Linked DNA regions of Schizosaccharomyces pombe. The protein of the gene in region 2 interacts with the protein of the main gene of each other region in a biochemical or structural test. Each region holds a gene or a part of one and is shown on either strand. Other genes may lie near its edges.

What was found.
Region 1: the proteins of mts4 (region 2) and txc1 form a complex in vitro, tested with the Schizosaccharomyces pombe proteins (one study listed by BioGRID).
Region 3: the proteins of mts4 (region 2) and rpn10 form a complex in vitro, tested with the Schizosaccharomyces pombe proteins (one study listed by BioGRID).

What each region holds. Positions count from the first base shown.
Region 1 is NC_003423.3:963,094-970,196, reverse strand, and holds txc1 (poteasome interacting protein Txc1), read right to left. Parts: upstream 3,918-7,103; 5' UTR 3,487-3,917; coding exon 2,863-3,486; 3' UTR 2,452-2,862; coding exon of another isoform or gene 1,593-2,451; 3' UTR 1,531-1,592; coding exon of another isoform or gene 1,430-1,530; 3' UTR 1,306-1,429; downstream 1-1,305. Other genes in the region: SPOM_SPBP35G2.04C (uncharacterized protein), read left to right, coding at 163-233, 326-746, 932-1,189; shugoshin Sgo1, read left to right, coding at 1,430-1,530, 1,593-2,451; SPOM_SPBP35G2.17 (uncharacterized protein), read left to right, coding at 5,922-6,242.
Region 2 is NC_003423.3:2,849,444-2,856,972, reverse strand, and holds mts4 (19S proteasome regulatory subunit Rpn1/Mts4), read left to right. Parts: upstream 1-2,870; 5' UTR 2,871-2,920; coding exon 2,921-3,058; exon of another isoform or gene 3,059-3,105; coding exon 3,106-5,643; 3' UTR 5,644-5,852; downstream 5,853-7,529. Other genes in the region: morphogenesis protein Mor2, read left to right, coding at 1-2,323; SPOM_SPBP19A11.02C (uncharacterized protein), read left to right, coding at 6,659-7,393. UniProt on the Schizosaccharomyces pombe protein: Acts as a regulatory subunit of the 26 proteasome which is involved in the ATP-dependent degradation of ubiquitinated proteins.
Region 3 is NC_003424.3:4,556,195-4,561,657, reverse strand, and holds rpn10 (19S proteasome regulatory subunit Rpn10), read left to right. Parts: upstream 1-2,961; 5' UTR 2,962-3,021; coding exon 3,022-3,047; intron 3,048-3,089; coding exon 3,090-3,236; intron 3,237-3,293; exon of another isoform or gene 3,294-3,315; coding exon 3,316-3,639; exon of another isoform or gene 3,640-3,702; coding exon 3,703-3,937; 3' UTR 3,938-4,107; downstream 4,108-5,463. Other genes in the region: histone acetyltransferase, KAT5 family Mst1, read left to right, coding at 1-274; ATP-dependent RNA helicase Rpm2, read right to left, coding at 422-2,365; rex1 (putative ribonuclease H70), read right to left, coding at 4,364-5,463. UniProt on the Schizosaccharomyces pombe protein: Protects ubiquitin chains against dissambly by deubiquitinating enzymes thereby promoting protein degradation.

The DNA.
Region 1 (7,103 bases), 1.9 Mb from region 2:
CGTAGATATAATTTCGTATCAAGACTGTAGACTTGAAGTTTTAACCCAAGTTTTATCAGGTGTTAAATAGATCTCCCTTTTCTAACTTCTTAGTGCGTGCACATGCATGTGCATGTGTGTTAAACGATTTGAGTCTAAAATTGACAAGAGCGGCTTCGAAATATGATATCTAATAGCTCCATTGAGGATAGAATTAATAAAAATGAAGCATATATAGCCAAGTTTTTTGAAATGTGTGTGTAATTATAAGAATTTCTGTGTTTGTCGCCTGAAGTTTTAAAATTTAAAGTGAATGATTTATGAGTTTACTTACTAACTTTATTAGATTTTCTAAAAATGATAAAATTCGCTTCCATGGAGTCTCACTTGACCGAAAAGCACTTGACTCGTTTATGGTTAGAAACAATTTTAAAAAAAGGTTCGTATCTGGTATTAACCTACCCATTTTAATACGATTACATTTTTATAAGAAACTCTTTACCATTTTATGGCTAACAGTTAGAACGGTCGCTTTGTTATCTCATGCTAGAAACATACAATGTCTAATTCAGGAATCCGATGGCGATGCTAAAGACGTTGCTCGTTCCATTTATATTACTACGGCTGAGTTTCGGAATTATTTGTTGACTGAAAAAGGGTTTTACGTTACGACCAGGAGCATTTCACATTTTCGAGCAATATTAGACAGCATAAGATACCCTTTTGGAAAAGACCATGCTAGCAAGAACATGGAGCTTTTACCTATAGTAAGTTTTACATAAATTTTAAGCGGACTACTATGTAAGGGATCTTATCCAAAAGACGTATCTGCAATTTTTAGGGTTGATAATGTTATACCTTTGCATGTAGTTAAATTCAACGTTCGTTGATATAATATGCCAATGTTTAACACGTTTTCTTAATGATGCATACTAACCGACTACTTACTTAGACTTACGATCTCAGTTTTTGTACTGTTTTTCATGGTTATCTCACCAGTATACTGGAAGCTTATGAATTCTTTAGAGGTGTTTTCAAAAAGTATAAAGCTCCCTTGTCCTCTAACTTTATAGCAATAGGAAAGACCACGGACGAATCTAATTTCTCACAATTGCATCATTATTTCCAAAAGTTTGATGAAAGAATTCGTCGAATATTACATTTAATCTCTCAGGAGTTGGATGGATATTGTCGGATAGCGAAGCAGTAATTAATTTTATGTTCTTTTTATCAATTTTTATTCAGGATATGGGCTGCATTAAGTCGTACAACCATCTTTCATCTAATTTATTATATACTAATTTACATTGATTTGGCAAGTTCCTTAAAGAAAAGAGCCTTTCTCAATATGACAAGACTTTAGTTTGCGATTGTTTACCTTACACTTAACAGGTTTGTTTACATCAGCAAGTCCTTAATTGCTTTTCGCAAAAAAAGCTTTAAAAAAGCTATGAACTTTCAATTTATAAATTCAAATATAAACAATGAAGATAAATTGCCGATGGAGTCGTTGAAAAAGAAATTTTTAAAACAAAATCGTGAAATTATAAAGTAAGGTCAAAGTACACCATTTTTGAATCCCTTGTGGTAAATAATAAACATCTAACTTTCAGAATAAATACTCAGCTTTCTATAAAAATTAGAGAATCTGAAAACGAAATTCAAGATTTGATACAAGAAAATTTCACTTTGAAAAGTTATTTGGTTAAACTTGAAGCTCGATTTCGCAATCAATCTCAAACTGAGGACTTGTTAAAAAACTTCTTTCCTGAGATACAAACCATTCACAAAAAGATTTCACAAGTGCAAAGTTTACTGAAGATTATAGAGAAAAAGTGTTCATCAGATTTCCTCGAAGCGAATGTAAAAAGTCAATTTACAACCTGTGAAAATAAAGATTCGAAAGAAGATTATCAGATTTTGCATAATAAACGCTTGGAGTATGTATCATTTAATGATGAACTTAAAAGTCTCGAAACAGGGCAACCATTGTATTGTTTTCAAGATTTCCAAAAAAAAGTCCATGGTCCTCCGGCTCTATCTGAAAAACCTGGAAAATGTATATTAAAAGATAAAACCAATGCCCACGTAAACAAAATACCACAAGATGAGGTGAATTACTCATTGCCGCAAAAAAATATCACCATCTTTTCAAAGGAATTAAAAGAAAACGAATTTGAATCCATCAACGAGGGCGAAACTGAAGAAGAAAAGGCTAAAACATCAAATGTTTGTGTTTGTATTCCTTGTAAAAGTGCTGAACAGATAACTGACCTTAAAGGACAAGCAACCGGAGACAGCTCCCCATGTGATTTTGAAGAATCTCAACCAAGGATTAATGGACGTGAAAAACTAAGACGATCAGTCAAAGTGATAAACTATGCAATACCCAGTTTGCGAACTAAACTACGACGAGACTTTGACTTACCATCTGATAGAAAACGCAAACGACATCCCAGAGGCAAAGCATAAATTATATTGAGGTCACATTGTTAAATATTTTCACATTTATAGCACAGCTAATTTATAATTTAATCTACTGCAAGCAACATTTAAATTCAAGAGAAAAACAAAAAATAATAGAGGAAGAAAAAAAGAACCTAATCAAGGCTCATTTCTTTTACATAAACACATAATTAATCGGCCAATAAATACAAACCAACATTTAAACATAAGCTAAAAAAGTATGGAGACTTAGCCATTTAAGAAAAAGAAAAGAAAAAGGGCGTTAGATATTCTTTAAATAACCGTCATTAAAAAAAATCCAAATCAAAGCGTATTCGTATCGTTTCATATATATTTTTTATTTTGCTTTGGGTAAAACAAAAATCTCAAATAAGAGAGGAAAAAACCAAAAGGAAGGAATCTAAACTTCCCGGGAGCTTAATAGTAAGAACGGAAAACCTCCTCTTGGTTAACTTTGGGATGATCTGAAGGTCTAGGAGTAGCTTCGTAAATGGTTACAACAGGATCACCCTTGAAGGGAACAAAAGAACCACGAAGACCAATGTAGGCGATTTGTGTAGGATCATCAGAACCGTCGCTTTTGGTGAAGAAGATATTGAGATTTTGAAGGTTTTGATAGAGACGAGTCTTAACAGGAAACTCGAAGATATGGCTTCCTTCAAAAGTCAAGGGAAATTCAAATGTTTCAGTGGCTTGGACATCACCGATTGTGTCAAAATCCAAGTCGGTACGATTGGGAAAAAGTGAAAAGGAGTGTGGAGCGGTTTCATTAGGAAAAATGCGAACCAAAATTGATTTTAGTGTTGCCGCACCTGCAAACGGTACCTGAAACAAGAGTTGGTCATCAGCATCACTTTCTACGATATCAGTGTCATCATAACGAAGGTCCCAAGGTTTGAAGACGAGTTTTCCGGAATCTGGTACAGCTTCATTCAGCGTAACAATTGATTCCTTTCGGATGCAAGAATACAAGGTATCATTTGGACCAGACTCAAACGGATGTTCATCACAGTCAGCGGAACAATGGTGAGGGCCAGACATTTAGTACAAACTTCTAAGGAAATCGTTAAAAATGCAAGACTAGGCGAGTTGATAGGTGAATAAATAAACGGTAAACTCGCTAACAAAAAGTAAAAGGGAAAGTTATTTGCGAGCACACTAAGACGTAAGACCGACACTCGGAAGCAAATACTCAAACAAAACAACTAATAGGAAGAAAACCAAAAGCGGAAAAATATGGCGAAAAAGCCTCCCGAGACCAGAAGTACGTTATGCGTTAAAATATTTTTCTTAGAAGCTTTACTAGTCTTCAGCAAAAGAAAAACAAAAATGGAATCAAAATCAGAATTCAAAACTGAAAAGAAAGAATATAAAAGTAGTTTTTTAACGATGAATTATTTTATTGCTTTTTAAAAAATTTTGATTTTGAGACAATAACCGAAAACTCACTTTTGTACCAAAGAAACGTTGACAGTATAAGCAAACAACCTCCTTACTGACTTTTAAACACCAACTTGAAAATATTCGATGAATAGTATGAATACCAGAATTTTAAAAAATAAATAAAAGAAAATCTATACATAAATATAAAGGGGCCTTTTTGTTTTTTTTTTGGTTTTCTCGCAAAAAAAAGTTATTCAGTCGTAAATTTCTACGTGGTAGATGAAAGAAAGTGTAGAAATTTCAACGTTAAATTAGCGAGACTTTTGTAGCACTGTATGAGGAACAGAATTTCAAGGCATACGAACAACTAAGCTAAAAGGCCCATGAAAAAGACAACACCAAAGTTCTTCCTTGGTAACATTGTTTCTATCCAGGCGGGTAGGATGTGGGCCGTGTGGCGCTCATTGTAACAATATATATGTATAGGATTTTGATAAAAACCGGTTGCTTGAACATGCAAGAATAATGAACGGTGACACGTGACAAAGTTACAGCGCAGAAATACGGTGACAACCAAAGCAAGACCAAGGGAAAAGGTTCGCTATAGATGTGAAACAAGTCATGGAAAGAAGGGTGGGGGAGGGCAAGCCAAGGCTGGGGGTAGCGTAAAAGTATAACTTTGTATAATTTTACATTGAAGAAAGAAATGGCACGCCATATGTAACGTGTTTTCTTTTCCATGGTGAATGTTTATTAAGAGAAACATGGATATGCGTACATTCGGGATTACATTGGTGTGGGAGGATTGAACATTATGGATTTGATTATTTAGAGAAAAAAAAAAAAAAAAAGAAAGAAAGAGAACGTACTATTTTTTGGTTGACTTTTATATTCCTAAGGTTTACTCCTAATGTCGCTACGGACATGAATCCGTGCAAAAGGACCTGAACCGCTGTTAACCCTTGCCTTAACCGTGTCTCGCCCCTGTTGTTGATATTTTTATGCGACTGAAAAATGCCTCACTGGTTCAACAAAGCATGAAAGGATTAGAAATTTTTAATGAGAAAATCGATGTTGAATAAAAATGACCAAAGAAGTGTTCTTGCATTTTCTTTCTCTACTTTTTTTTATTTTTCTAATTTTTCATCCTTGAAAAAAAAATACAAACGAGAATGATCTGCATCTTGATATCTTTAGCGAATATCCTGATTTTTGCATAACTGGCTTTTTTTTCTCTACGCTTCTCTTTGTCCCGCTGCACTGGATAGTACTAGATACATATGGAATAGGGTGTTTATACAAGATTCTGGAAAAAGTAGTAAATAAATGTCCCAAAAAGGAGAAACTTGACAGAAAAATAAAAACAAAGAAAAACAAGGAAGACATGGGAAAAAGTGGGAAAGGAGTTTTGATTTGAATACGCCTTACCTACTTAGAGCCAAAAAAAGAAAAAGAACTTGAAAAAAATTTTTCTTGAGAAGCCGTACATACGATATTTTCTATTTTTTTATTTTATTTTTTTTTTCGTTCTCGAGTTTAATTACTAAACCATCTTATTCTATTTTTACTCGTTTGTTGGAATGCGATTTTTCTAGCACATAACCGAAACACGCAGCGTTCGTTATCTGATCAAAGGAAAATCATTGAAAACATAGTATGCAAAAAAGACCCTCATGGGTTTGTAAACAAGATTCATACGTCCTTTAATAATCGATTTCATGAAATGAATGAATTCCAGTAGTAGGTTAAAATTTTTCCAAAAGATTCTGATGCGTTTAGCACTATTGTATTCTGCATATAGCAAAGCACATGGATGTATGTAGGATGGATACATGTGGGATGGGTACGTGAAAATGTGGGATAGATGTACCTATGTGGGATGTTTTGCATACCTACAGAGGAAGCACAGGTGGGATCGGATCCAGTAGCTACTACAGTTGGTGATTGTTACTGTTGGCAGAGTGTTGCATCCTAGCTCTTTGCTGAGGAGTTATTGCTTCGTGGCAAACTACAGAGTAACACGTGCTAGATCCCGCGAACGTTAGATTCAAAGATCCCAAACACTTACAACAAGGTTACATGAGTATAAGTAAATGGTACGTGAATTCTACGTTACCGGTCGAGGCAGAAAGTTGCTTCCGACCGTCTTCAGAATCAAGTCATTCCATGGAATTGTAAGACAATGTGTGAAACAACAACGAGATTTCACTTCTTTTTTAGCTAGTTCTCCCGCTATGGGTGTCGCACAAGGACAACAGGTAAAATTAATTTTGATGCTACTCATTGAGACATGGGAAACAAAACATCAATCATGCCACAGTCATTTCATTTTATTAGAATTCACTCATCTTTTTGTACGCAAGTTTTCGCAAATATTTTTCGAGTTCCGGTTGTTTGCTCACCTACTATCATAAATACAATGTATAATCAATAAACGATTCGCACTTTGTCGTTAGAAATCGAAAAAAAATAAATAAATAAATAAATAGATATATAAAAGTAAAACCATTCTCTAATAGTGAAATATATTTATATCTCTATCATGTGTAAATTTTGTTTTATTATTTTTTCTCTTTTTATTTTTACTTCTCTAGTTCTCTATTATTGAATTCCATTTATTTTATTCTATTTTATTATAATTTAAACTAATTTCTTTTTTTTCTCATTCATTCCCAACCGTCAGTTTAATTTTTCATCCCTGCCCTGCACATCTTTATACATGCTATATTTCGACCCCACCTATCGCCTTAAATCTCTCGTTGAAAAAAAGTCATCATCACCATGGTTCTCCATTTTGCTCCGCTACTGACTGCATCGGTGCCTCTTTTTACAGTCCAAAGATGTGCGATCAGCATCATGTTGTTGTGAGCTGGCGTACAACTGTCTTCTCACATGTATTTTTGGGGTTTAAAGGCGGAGAATATGATGCGAAAGGTCGCTTAAAGTGAGTAGAAGAGTATTCGAGAATTAAAATGAAAAAATAAAAAATGTAGTGTGTTTTTACTATTGTATATGACACCCCGGCTGAGCTAGCGTTTGTGTGTGCATTTAGTATGCGAGTTAGTACACACAGTGTTTTTCTCGGTTTCCCACTTCCGACTCAAATCCCCCACATCAGTCGTTCTGCTTTCTTCTCTTGTGTGTTGTAATCAAATTATGAAGAGGTAACATTGTACGCAACTCACGCAATGTATTAGCATATGCAGTCGGTCGGATGTGCATTATGAGATCAAACACAGTGTATGCTGTTTTCTTAACGTATTTTACCGATAGTA
Region 2 (7,529 bases):
TTATAAATTTAGTCTTGAGGATTTATCTTCAACTTATGTTGCAAATTTAGAGGATTTGTTTCCCAGTGAAAAAAATCATATTTCCTACTCCCCGTGCCAGTTATCTTTACTATTATTGATGGATATTCTTCCAAATCCTTCTATAATCACAGTTACTGATGATGTGGCTACAATACTCCATGCTGCTTTTATACAATTTGATCATTATTCTCGCATAGTCCAAGAGCAATGCCAGCAGATTTTTCAGTATGTTGTACGAAAAGTTCTAGCTATGGAAGGAAGGTTAGATTATGACGACGCTTATTTTGATTTCAATGTAGAAAGCTCACTAATAACGGGCCTTCGTGGTAAAACCAAGAAGGAGGATGATTTGGTTAAATATCATAACATGATTTTGAAGACAATTGAGTTATTGAGTTCATCATATCCTGAGCTTAAACAAATATGGGGTGAGGTTGCTTTATCGTGGGCTACGACTTGTCCTTCTCGACGTTTGGCTTGTAATTCATTCCAGTTGTTTCGTTCTTTGCTTCCAGATTTTGATGCACGAATGCTTCTTGAGATTATTTCTCGTCTAGTTGGTACAATATCAGATGAAACGAGCTATTTACGTGATTATTCCGTTGAAATATTGCGAACTTTTAATTCCTATGTTTTAGTTATGAACTCCGATGATTTACTAAGTTATTCTCAAATATTATGGACAGCCATTGCGTGTTTGACTACAATCCATGAGGATGAATTTATTGAATCTGTGAAAATTGCATATGCTTACTTTCTGAGAGTGGAGGAGACGGACTCTGCTACCCAACAAATTATGGAGACATTTCCCCAAAACTGGGTTGGAGATTACCAAGGTCTTCAGATTTTAATATTAAAAGGTTTCCGTTCAACTAATTCTTTTGAAATTACCATGAATTTTTTCCTTTTGCTGATGGATTTCAAGGATAATGATTTGGTTGGCGTTGGTTATTTGAGGATACTATCCTGCTTGTTGGTGTCATTACCAGCGATGGTATATACATACGAGCATTCAGATCCTATTACTTTTGATTTAAGTGTTTTCTGTCATAAATTAGCTACTCTTGCTTCACAATTTAACGATGATGCATTGATTGAGCTTCTTGACACATATCTCAAACGTAAATTCAGGTCAATTAAGGATTTTTTAAAACATACGGTTTCATACCTATACTCCTATTATTTTGAAGATTACGAGCTAGAAATTGTTAGTACTCTTACGATGTTTCTATCAAATAATTTGACTTGGTTTAGAAAGTCTACGTTAGATGTGTTAAAAGAACTCTTTCCATTAATTGATTTCCAAAAACCTATATATTCCGAACATGGATTAGGTATTGTTTCACCGCTTCTTCGACTCTTACCTACTGGTTATGCAATGGAAGCGTTGTCTTTGCTAACCGACTCAGTGCTTCATGTATCTGCTCCCACAGATATGCAAACCTTAAAGTTATTAATGGTTGACCCTAAATTAAAAAATTCAGATGATCGTCTGGCTGGATTTTTTGAAATACCTGACGAGGATGGATGGTATGAACCAAACTCTGAATATGCAGCTGCTATAACTAAAAGCAACGTACATGCCGTATTTTATAGCTGTTCCACTACCGAGGCTTCTGTGAGTACGCCAGAGGTTAGATTTCATGCTGATGAAGTATCCAATTATCCGCGACACGTTCCTACTGACAGTCATGGTTCGCTTGACGAAAATTCACTAGGAGAGCTAGTTACAACTCTTCATAGCCTCGATGTCTTCTTCGCTGAAGATAGGGATGAAGAGTTAATTCAGCCTGATGTCGCCGTTGATCCAAAATTAGATATTACATCGGAAGATTATGACGATCGGATAGCTACGATTCTTTCAGGTAGCCTTAGACGGCAGAAACAAGGTCTTATGGCTTATGAAACAGAATCCTTCAGAGATTATTCACCGAACGAAGAAATTGATGCATCAGCAAAATTGCCGATGGACATGCCGCCGGTGAGAGTAAGAAAGTCGTCTTTTATCTCTAAATTAAAACCTCATTACTTTATGGATGCTGAATCTTATTATCCTTCTTTAAAGGCACTTGGTAATTCGGCGGAACATCGTTTATCTTTGGACGAAATACGAGGTGCAGCAGAATTGAAACAAAATAAAAATTGGAATTCCATGTTAGATCAATCTGTTTCTATGATTAATGAAGATTCAGTGGAAGACCATGAAACTCATGAAAATTATTATCATTTACGTACAATGTTTCAAGGAAGTGAAAGCAATGAATCTTTTACTGATACAACTCGATCCCGCGGTTGGCATTGAATTTGCCTATACTGGTTTAGTATACTTATACAAGCTTTTATGGTGTTCATGTGTGTAAGATGGAAAATTAGTCGGCAACGTTTATGGATGTACTATATAAAACTATTCGTTTGTTTTCATTATTTTATCATTTGCATTTTTTTGTTAATTTAAACTCGAAAATTCTTTGACCATTACAGCCTTTAATTTTAGAATTCAAAATCTTAGAGCGTGTCATGTTATTAAAAATCAAGCTATAACTATGGTAATTAGGTGTAGTGATATAAATCGGTTTCATATGTCCGTATTTAAACAAATGAAAACATAAAGAGTCAATCAATAACGAGTTATTTTACAACAATTCTTATAAGAAAAGAGGCATGAGATAATAATGTCAAGCATCGTGTAATAATGGTAATACATTGACGAACTTAAATAATAGATTATTTTTTCATTTGTACTGATCCATAAAGAAAGCATAGCGTGTTGTTAAATCTAATTAACGTGATAAATAATCAAATACGTAAACAATCGGTATACTGGTTCTGACTAGGGTGAGAGTAGTTTCAACGACAACACATTACTACTCAGTTTCAGAAAATCTTAGGAATCTAGAAAATGAGTTCTAAAGACATTAGTTCGAAGTCCCCGAGTGGTAATGATGCATTAAATGACAAAAAAGGGACAAAGACTTCAGAAACTAATGACAGAAACTCAACGAACAATACCAAAGAAAGGGATGAATTAGAGGATTTAGTAAGTTAAAGCCCTATTATTTTTCAAAATGAAAACTAACCAAATAGTCTGAAGAAGATTTACAATTAAAAAATGATTTGGAATTATTAGTTCAAGCTGTTCAAGATGCCACCCCTGAGTTGGTGGGTTCCAGTCTCACTCAGCTTAAAGAAATAATTCGTACTTCTACCTCCTCTATGACGGCCGTTCCAAAGCCTTTGAAGTTTCTTAGACCACATTATTTTACTCTCGTTAAAATCTATGATTCCTGGCCGCAAAGCCCTCAGAAGACTCAACTTGCTGATATCCTTTCAGTATTAGGAATGTCCTATAGTAATACAAGCAAACATGAATCATTAAAATATCGTCTTCAGGGCGTTACCACTGATCCTTCTTTATGGGGTCATGAGTATGTTCGCCATTTGGCTTCCGAAATAGAAGAAGAGTTTGCCAGTCGCCAGGAAGAGGAAGCGCCAACCGACGATCTTATGGAACTTGCATTGACCATTGTTCCATTCTTCCTTACTCATAATGCTGAGGCTGATGCTATTGATTTATTACAAGAATTGGGTGCTATTGAAAAAGTTGTACCCTTCGTAGAACTTGATAATGCTTCTCGCGTTTGTCTTTATATTACCAGTTGCGTTAATCTTTTGCCATTTCCTGAAGATGTCGCCATGTTAAGAACAGCGCATGCTATTTATCGGAAGTTTGACCAGCTTACACAAGCACTTAACGTTGCTATCCGCCTTGATGATATGTCTTTGATAAAAGAAGACTGTGAAGCTGCTACGGATCCCTTGTTGAAAAAGCAAATGTCTTACATGCTTGCTCGTCAGCAAATACCTATGGATATGGGAGACGAGGAGTTAAACGATGCTTTAAATAACACTCATTTATCTGATCACTTTCATTATCTAGGAAAGGAGTTGAACCTTATGGATCCTAAAGTTCCGGAAGATATCTTTAAAACACATTTAGAAGTGGCTAGGACTGGATTGGGTGCATCAGGAGTGTATTCCGCCAAACAAAATTTAGCTAACACTTTTGTCAATGCCCTTGTCAATGCCGGATACAGTAACGACAGATTAATTTTGGTCGATGACGAAAAAACGTCTTGGATTTATAAAAATAAAGAATCTGGTTTAATAAGTGCTACAGCTTCTATTGGCCTATTACAATTATGGAATGTTGACATGGGATTGTCTTTGTTGGATAAGTATTTATACTCTTCTGAGGAGAATACCAAGGCTGGTGCATTGTTGGGAATTGGTGTTACAAATGTTGCAGTAAGAAATGAAGCTGATCCAGCTATGGCAATTCTTTCTGAATACCTTGAAACTGGCTCCGTAAAGCTTCGTGCATCAGCGATTTTAGGTTTAGGACTTGCATACAGTGGAGCTAATCGCGAAGATTTACTCGACATGTTATCTCCAATTGTTACGGATACCGATTGCCCTATGCAATTATCCTGCTTAGCCGCATTATCTTTAGGTCTTATTTTTGTTGGTACTTGCAACGGCGATGTAGCTAGCACAATTTTACAAACTCTAATGGAGCGTGAAGAGTCTGCCCAAAATGATCAATGGGGCCGTTTTATGGCTCTTGGCCTTGCCCTTCTTTTTAATGGTAAACAAGACCTTGCGGATGCTACAGTCGAAACACTGAAAGCTATTGAGGGTAAAATTGCACGACAAGCTGAAATTTTGGTGGATATTTGCTCGTATGCTGGAACTGGCAACGTTCTTCACATCCAAAAATTGCTTCATATCTGTAGTGAACCTCCCAGTGATGATGCTAAGGAGAGTGAGACTACTATCCAGACATTTGCAGCACTTGGTGTTGCTACTATAGCTATGGGTGAAGATATTGGAGCAGAAATGGTTTTGAGACATTTCGATCACATGATGCATTATGGCGAACCCTCTATTCGAAAAGCTATACCACTTGCATTAGGATTGCTTTCCGCTTCCAATCCTCAAATGCGTATATTTGACACGCTTTCACGCTATAGTCACGATAATGATTTGGATGTTGCTTACAACGCAATCTTTGCAATGGGTCTTGTTGGTGCTGGTACTAGTAATGCGCGTTTGGCTCAATTACTCCGCCAACTAGCCAGTTATTATCACAAAGAATCCAACGCTCTATTCATGGTTCGTATCGCTCAAGGTTTACTTTACTTAGGAAAAGGAACAATGACGCTTAACCCTTATCATACAGAACGGCAGATTCTTGGTCAAACTGCTTTTGCTGGTCTTATGACTGTTGTATTAGCTATGCTAGATGCAAATACCTTTGTCCTTGATACCTCGCATTGGTTGCTTTATGCTATTACGTTAGCAATACGACCCCGAATGCTCATTACCCTTGGTGAGGACGGTCAATATTTACCAGTAAGCGTTCGAGTTGGTCAAGCAGTAGATGTGGTCGGTCAAGCTGGTCGTCCCAAGGTCATTACGGGTTGGGTCACACATACTACACCAGTTTTGTTGCATCACAATGAGCGAGCTGAACTAGCGACGGAAGCATATACACCTTTGACTTCGTTGGAAGGTATTGTTATTTTAAAAAAAAATACGGAGGACATTGAAATGACCGCTTAAATGACTTGAAGTTAAATGACTACAATTTTTATGTACTAATGCTTGATTTCCAGTTCTTTGCTATTAATAAAACAAACTGGATTGTTGAAATTCAGCGCCCGATACATTTATTTTTCTATTTCGATTATGTTAAATTCGTATTTTTTAGATTAGAAATGTTCTAGTATTGTTCTAAATTGAAGTAGCGGAAAGTATATATACATGATTGCAAATTTGTAATTAGGATTATAATTTCTGTTTCTTTTTTTTTGTATTTGTCGCGTTACCAAAAGGTAATAGAACGTCCACTGCAGAAACGTCTTGTTGGATAAAAATTGCCCGAACTAAGGAGCTACCATTTCTTAGTAAAAAAAATTTAGACCTGCGTTGGAGCTTAATGCAATTATCAAAGAATGAATTTTAATCATCTTCTGATAATCCGACAAAGGAGTTGACTGCTTTGCGACGCATCCCTTATGTCACGTTTCTACTACTGTTTCAATACCTAACCATTACATTAAAGGTAAAACTGCACATTAGATACTTCGCATTTAGGGAATAACGGTGAATAGCTTTATTTAATTTCAAATATTATCTTGAATTGTTATTATGTTTCATCATATGCAGTCCCAAAGTCTGCTCATCGTTAATTCATTTCCACAGGTAAGTTGTGCATTCATTTCGTTATGTGAAAAAATGGAATGACGCTCGTATTTGAATTGATAGAAATGTCATATATGACTATTAGGGGACTATTATGTGTTGATTGAACAATTTATTTTCAATGGGATCACTCACCCGTCATTTTGTCTACCGAATTGCATTTTGTAAGAATTTGTCAGTAAAAATTTGACCTATATATCGAGGTATTCGTTCTCTCGATTTGTGCTACTGAAATTGAGACATTAATCCGATTTCGCTTGCTTGCAAATAAAAGCCAGGAAAATATAATTGGTCTTTTGGAACTTGTATTTGAGGCACTCTTTAGCATTTTTTATCCTTCTATTTTTTAATTCATTAATCATTTAATAAGAAGATGCAGTTCTCTGTCCTTTGCAAATTTCTGTTGCTTGTCACAGCCGTAATGGCACAAACGGAGTATACTCCTGGTTTTACGACAGACGTTGCTACAACTGTAACGCCTACTCCTTTACCAAGTGCTAATGTTACGACTACTTCCTTTAGCAGTGCAAGTACTGAGACTTCCACCCACAGCGTAACAAGCACGAACATTACTTCGATTGTACCTCCCCCTTCGACTAGCCATAACTCTACCACTACCACTGTGCCACCTACAACTAGCATGAACACTACGACCACTGTACCTCCTACAACTAGCTTGAATACTACTACTACTACTGCACCACCAACAACTCATGTTAACAGCACTACTACTGTTGTACCACCAACAACTCATGTCAACACTACTACTGTTGTACCACCAACAACTCATGTCAACACTACTACTGTTGTACCGCCAACAACTCATGCCAACACTACTAGCTTCGTACCTACTACTACGGAGAGTTCTATACATCCTATCACTACTGGATTCTATAACACTACATTCACTACCGGCTACTTCAACACTTCAGTCACTTCGGTCGCAGTTCATAATAGTACTACTGTCTTCCCGACATCTGTTCCTATTGTAAACACTACTAGTTTCAACGTAACTACCATTCCTTCTTCTGCTGTGCATTATGCTTCTCCCAGCGGACTTCTCGCTTTGGTTGTTATGCTAATTTCTGCCTTCGCCTTTTTGGCTTAATTTATCCCATTTAATATAGGCTTACTATTTATAATATTTACAACCTAGCAGAAGTATGCAATTAATTTCTTTCGCTTAATTACTTTATCAGATTATAGTTTAATGTTGAAATTGTAATTTAATTCTATTAAGTTAT
Region 3 (5,463 bases), on a different chromosome or scaffold from region 2:
AATCATCAACCTTGTGCTTGGAATGCGAACTGAAACCACTATTGACGAATTAGCCAACAAAACTTCAATGACTACTAATGATGTGCTACATACACTTCAAGCACTAAATATGCTTAAATATTACAAAGGTCAATTTATTATCTGTATTTCAGATGGAATTGAGCAACAATACGAAAGATTGAAGAACAAAAAAAGAAGAAGGATCAATGGAGATTTGTTGGCAGATTGGCAACCTCCTGTTTTTCACCCTTCCCAACTACGATTTGGATGGTAATTCTGTACAAAGAATGGATTAGATGCTGGTCGTCTTTCTTAAAAAAAAAAAAAATTCTCATAATTAAAGTATCTCCTAGATATATATTAATGATACTTAAAGTTTGAAGGAATAGAGACTAATTTGTAACCTTTTATTTCATTTTAGTTACTTTTGTAATTTCGATATTCCTTTGATTAGAAAAGCCTCTGCTATTGCCTTGGTTTTTTCGGCTGCTCCATTTTGCAGGATAGCTGGATATCGTATACTAGCCCACATGTATGCTACTATTAATTTGTGAAGCTGCTCTAGTTGTTGTAACTCGGTTTCAGTGGTTGGAATTCCGCGTTCTAATATTTCCAAAGGTACAGACTTCAAATCATATATTTGCAGACGTTTTCCTTGAGCGATAACACATCCGATTTCCCGAATAAATAGTGGTGCGTATTTAGAATGCTTTAACACTGGGCACCCTAACAATTTGATTTTATCTTTAATGGTTAAACCTTTTATGTGGTCTAAATATTCAATAATGAATGTGCTTAGTGCTCCTTCCGACACAACAAATGGAGTAGTCGTTTTCGCTAACTTAAAGTAACGATCGAAAATTAGCTTTTGAGGAATGTCATCAGAGAATAGTGATAAATATCTAAAGAATAAATCGTCCTTAGCTCCAATACAAGCATTGAATAAGTTCTTTGTAGGAAGATTCATGGCGCGATTTAATTTCGCAAAATCTTTTTGATATAGGGTAGTTACTATTCCAGCACTTTGCTTAGATCCATTGGGATTATGTCGGCCAGCTCTTCCTGCTATCTGCTTAATTTGTGGTACAGGGATGTCTATAGTGGAAACTCCACTAAACTTTTTTAAATCGCTGAAAACAATACGCTTTACGCCTAAGTTGAGACCCATACCAATGGCATCGGAGGCCAGCAAAATATTTTCATCAGAACTCTTTGAATTAAATAAGCTTGCTTGTTGATTACGGACTTCAGGAGGCAGTGAACCATAAATAACGGCAGATTTTTTTCCTAATGCTTGATCAATTTTAGACTTCAAAGTAAAAATGTTTTTCCTTGAAAAAGCCACAACACAATCCCCGTCTTTGAGTTCACTTAACTTTCCATTTAAGCTCTTTTCTGCAACGTGGAGAGGATTTAACCGTTCGTATCTGTAAACAGTAAAATCATCTTGGGTCATTTTAGCAATTGAACGCACTAATTTAACAACACTTTCTTCTCCGCATAAATGAATTTCCTTAGCCTGCAAGCCAAGCAAGCATTGAGTCCAAGCATATCCCCGTGAAGGATCAGCCATCATTTGGATTTCATCAATGACTGCAACATCAAAAGTAGTAGATAAGTTGCACATTTCTACAGTACATGAAACAACCTGAGGGAAAGGATAATCATTTCTAATCTCTTCCCCTGTGTAAAGATTACAAGCTATTCCGTTTGCTTGCAAGCGATTATAGATTTCGTGAGCCAAAAGTCTTAAAGGGCCAGCAAATATACCTTTCTTGCAAGTCTTAAGTCTTTCTAAAGCCCTATGTGTTTTCCCGCTATTCGTTGGGCCGACATGCATAATGATATGCCTTCTGAGTTTTCTCGCTCCTGGATACCACTCAATTGGATTTTTTAAATCTGTTAATTGCTTTTGTAAGTCAGGTCTTGTTTCTTCTATTCGCTCTTGATATCGTACATACTTCCGATACTCTGAGAGTAAACAATCATGGATCTTTTTTATTTTCTGAAGGTCAAAAGTAGAAGAAGATTTTGAAAGAGCCAATGATTTATCAGAGTTTTTTAAGTCAGAAAATCCTAAATCTGTAAGGATATTCTTTTTTAACTCATAATAGTATACATTCTGAAAGACACTGGCATCCTTGCAGACATTGACAAAGTCTTGGGCTAAGTATGCTTGTTTTGACGAAAGTTCTTTGGAAGCAAATAAATATGCAGTGAAGCGATTGAGGGCAGCAGCCCACAAGGTATTTCCTGGGAATTTCCTTTGTTGAAAAACATCCTTTGATAAAGTGTGAATTCTAGCAGACTTGCTAAAAAACGGTACACAAAACGTTACGCCATGAATCAAAGTTTCCAAAAACATTCCTGGCGAGTTAAAATCTTTCTAGCAATGCTCTATTGCTGGCCGCCCTGTAACCAGAGCAAAACTTAATCCAAGTATTTAAAGTAATTTAAAAACAAGAAATGTTTATATAGAAAATTAAATACTTCTCAAACGTCTGAAGGTCCCTGGCTTTATCGCTTTTAAAAATATTACCTTCTATTAATTAAAAAAGGAAAAAAAAAGTAATAATTTGACTACGAGATTCAGTCAAGTTGCCTGCTGAGGCCTCTAATATGTTATACCAACAGCTCTGCATGTATCTCCAAAAAATTAGTATCTCAGCAGTACCCTTTAAATTCCAGTTTTCCGCTTCAGTAAATATATAAAATTTTTTAAAAAGCGTTTATTACCTACACTTGTATTATAACAATTTCACGCATTTGGTGTTGGCTTTCGATTATTTACGCGTGCTGTAAGAAATTAGAGAACCTGTGGATTCGAACAGGAAATGAATTGTGTATCACCATGTTTTTCGATGTTTCATTTTGTGATGCGTTACATATCGTTATCCGAGAATGACTAGAGAAGGTGAGTAGTAATACCTTGTCTAGTTCACTTTGCAACACATCTTCTGTAATCTACCAAGCGTTCTTTCAAATTTCTTCGCATTAAGTTTTAAATTATAGGTCTTCAAGATGGTGTTAGAAGCAACGATGATTCTGTAAGAATTTATTTTTGTTAAATTATTGCTCTAACATGGCAGAATTGATAATTCAGAATGGATGATTAATGGTGATTATATACCTACGAGGTTTGAAGCTCAAAAGGATACTGTACATATGATTTTCAATCAAAAGATCAATGATAATCCGGAGAACATGTGTGGTTTAATGACAATTGGTGATAATAGGTATATGATTAATATTACGGCTTGAACGGTACTTTATGTTCAGCTATAAAATACTTTACAGAAATTCTAATCATATTAGTCCCCAAGTTCTTTCTACATTAACCAGAGATTATGGTAAATTCTTATCTGCAATGCACGACCTGCCTGTCCGAGGAAACGCAAAGTTTGGCGATGGTATACAGATTGCGCAGTTAGCCTTAAAGCATAGAGAAAACAAAATTCAACGTCAAAGAATTGTTGCATTTGTAGGTTCTCCTATTGTTGAGGACGAGAAAAATCTTATTCGTCTAGCCAAGCGTATGAAAAAGAATAATGTTGCTATTGATATCATTCACATTGGTGAGCTTCAGAATGAATCAGCTTTGCAGCATTTCATTGACGCTGCTAATTCAAGTGACAGTTGGTAAGTCTACGGATTTTTCGGACATTTTTGGCTTCTTTTTTTTACTAGTATTAACAATTTTAGTCATCTTGTCAGCATTCCACCTAGCCCGCAGTTACTTTCAGATTTGGTAAATCAATCCCCTATTGGACAAGGTGTAGTTGCTTCTCAAAACCAATTTGAGTATGGAGTCGATCCTAATCTTGACGTTGAATTGGCGTTAGCCTTGGAACTTTCAATGGCGGAGGAACGAGCACGTCAAGAAGTTGCTGCTCAAAAATCATCTGAAGAAACTGAGGATAAAAAAATGCAAGAATGATCCGAAGATGTCTACGATTCCTTATCCTTATGAAAGACAAATTAACGTTCTTGTACTTTACTAGCCATGCTTTATGCAGCAACGTTTAAATTAGATTGAATCCTAAAAATCATGATTTTTCAAAATATATCCAAAATAATAAATTGGCAGCATTTTGTTTCATTTTCGTAATTAGCATTGTAGAAAAGGTTAGCGCATTCTAGAAACACATTACTAGAAGGAAAGGTATTAATCTACAATCAAGGTAGCGTTAGTGGCATCCAATAATAAAAACGCCCCTAATATACGTGTCTGACTAGCTGTTTACCTTTCTTAATTTCAACATATACATAAACCAAAACAATTGTTTTCTTCAACTATCTATTATGACCAATAAAATGCAGACCCTTTACCCAAAATTTACTTGATCGCAATATAAAAACACACTTATTTGATCGTCATAAAAGACAATCCATTCCTTGTGTTTTCAACAGCAGATATATATTTCATATTTTCTTCATCAGTCCATTTTACTGATAGCTCATCCCATTTTTTGGTCTGGTATTCTTTTCTAAATTGTTGGCGAATAGCGTTTAATTTTGACATTTCGATGGGATTTCCAGTACCAGTATACAAAAGCAATAGAGAACCTTTTGGTAAGGAGTCGTATAAAAGACGAATTCTTCGATTAAAACGCTCTAAAGCAGAAGAATAGCTAGTTACTTGGTCCTCTTCTACCGAATCATTCTCTGTATCAGTATCAGAGTTGTTTTCTTGTTTTGTATTTCGATTAGCGTTCCACATAGCCGCATGCTCCAATTCGCGAAAACGACCCCACACGAAGTTATGCATGTCTGAAAGACTTACAACAGCGCTTACGACTTCATCATCATTCGCACAAGAAACGCTTTTATGAGCCGCTTTGCCAATGCACGACTCCGGATTACCATAGTCGGCAATTGCACCAATCAATGGAGTTGGCTGCTGTCGTGACAATCTATGAAAGATTGACTCAAAGTCTTGGTTAAACAACCCAAAGGCAGGTCCATTCTTAACTTTCAACTTTAGAAGATCCACACAAGCAAGAGCATCTTCTGCAGAATCGTGCCCCAGAGCTCCCGCTTTTTGTATCTCACGCCTCAACCACTTCGTTGCAAGCCATTTAAGCGATGGTTTTGAAGGGGGACCACGAGTGTGATTATAAATGTTTGCCGTATCAATGATATGAGGGTGTGTAAATTTTAAGCAATTAAGATCAGAATTTAGACTATGGCCTAAAAGAACGGTATTGTTGTCCACAGTCTTTTTTAAGTAAGATTGAACATCGGAAAGAACAGTAGTAACATTTCTCAGTTTTTCTTCAGTTATGCCAGAATACTGGGTAACATAATCAGTGACGGGTGATTCTGGTTTTACAAATTCGTCGTAAATAACCTCACTTTTCATGTCTACAATAGTTACTCTGGCTATTTCTAACCCGTTCTCAGTCCGCACCATTTCGCAATCAATAGCAAGAATTTTGGGATTTATAGGAGGAGAATGAAAAT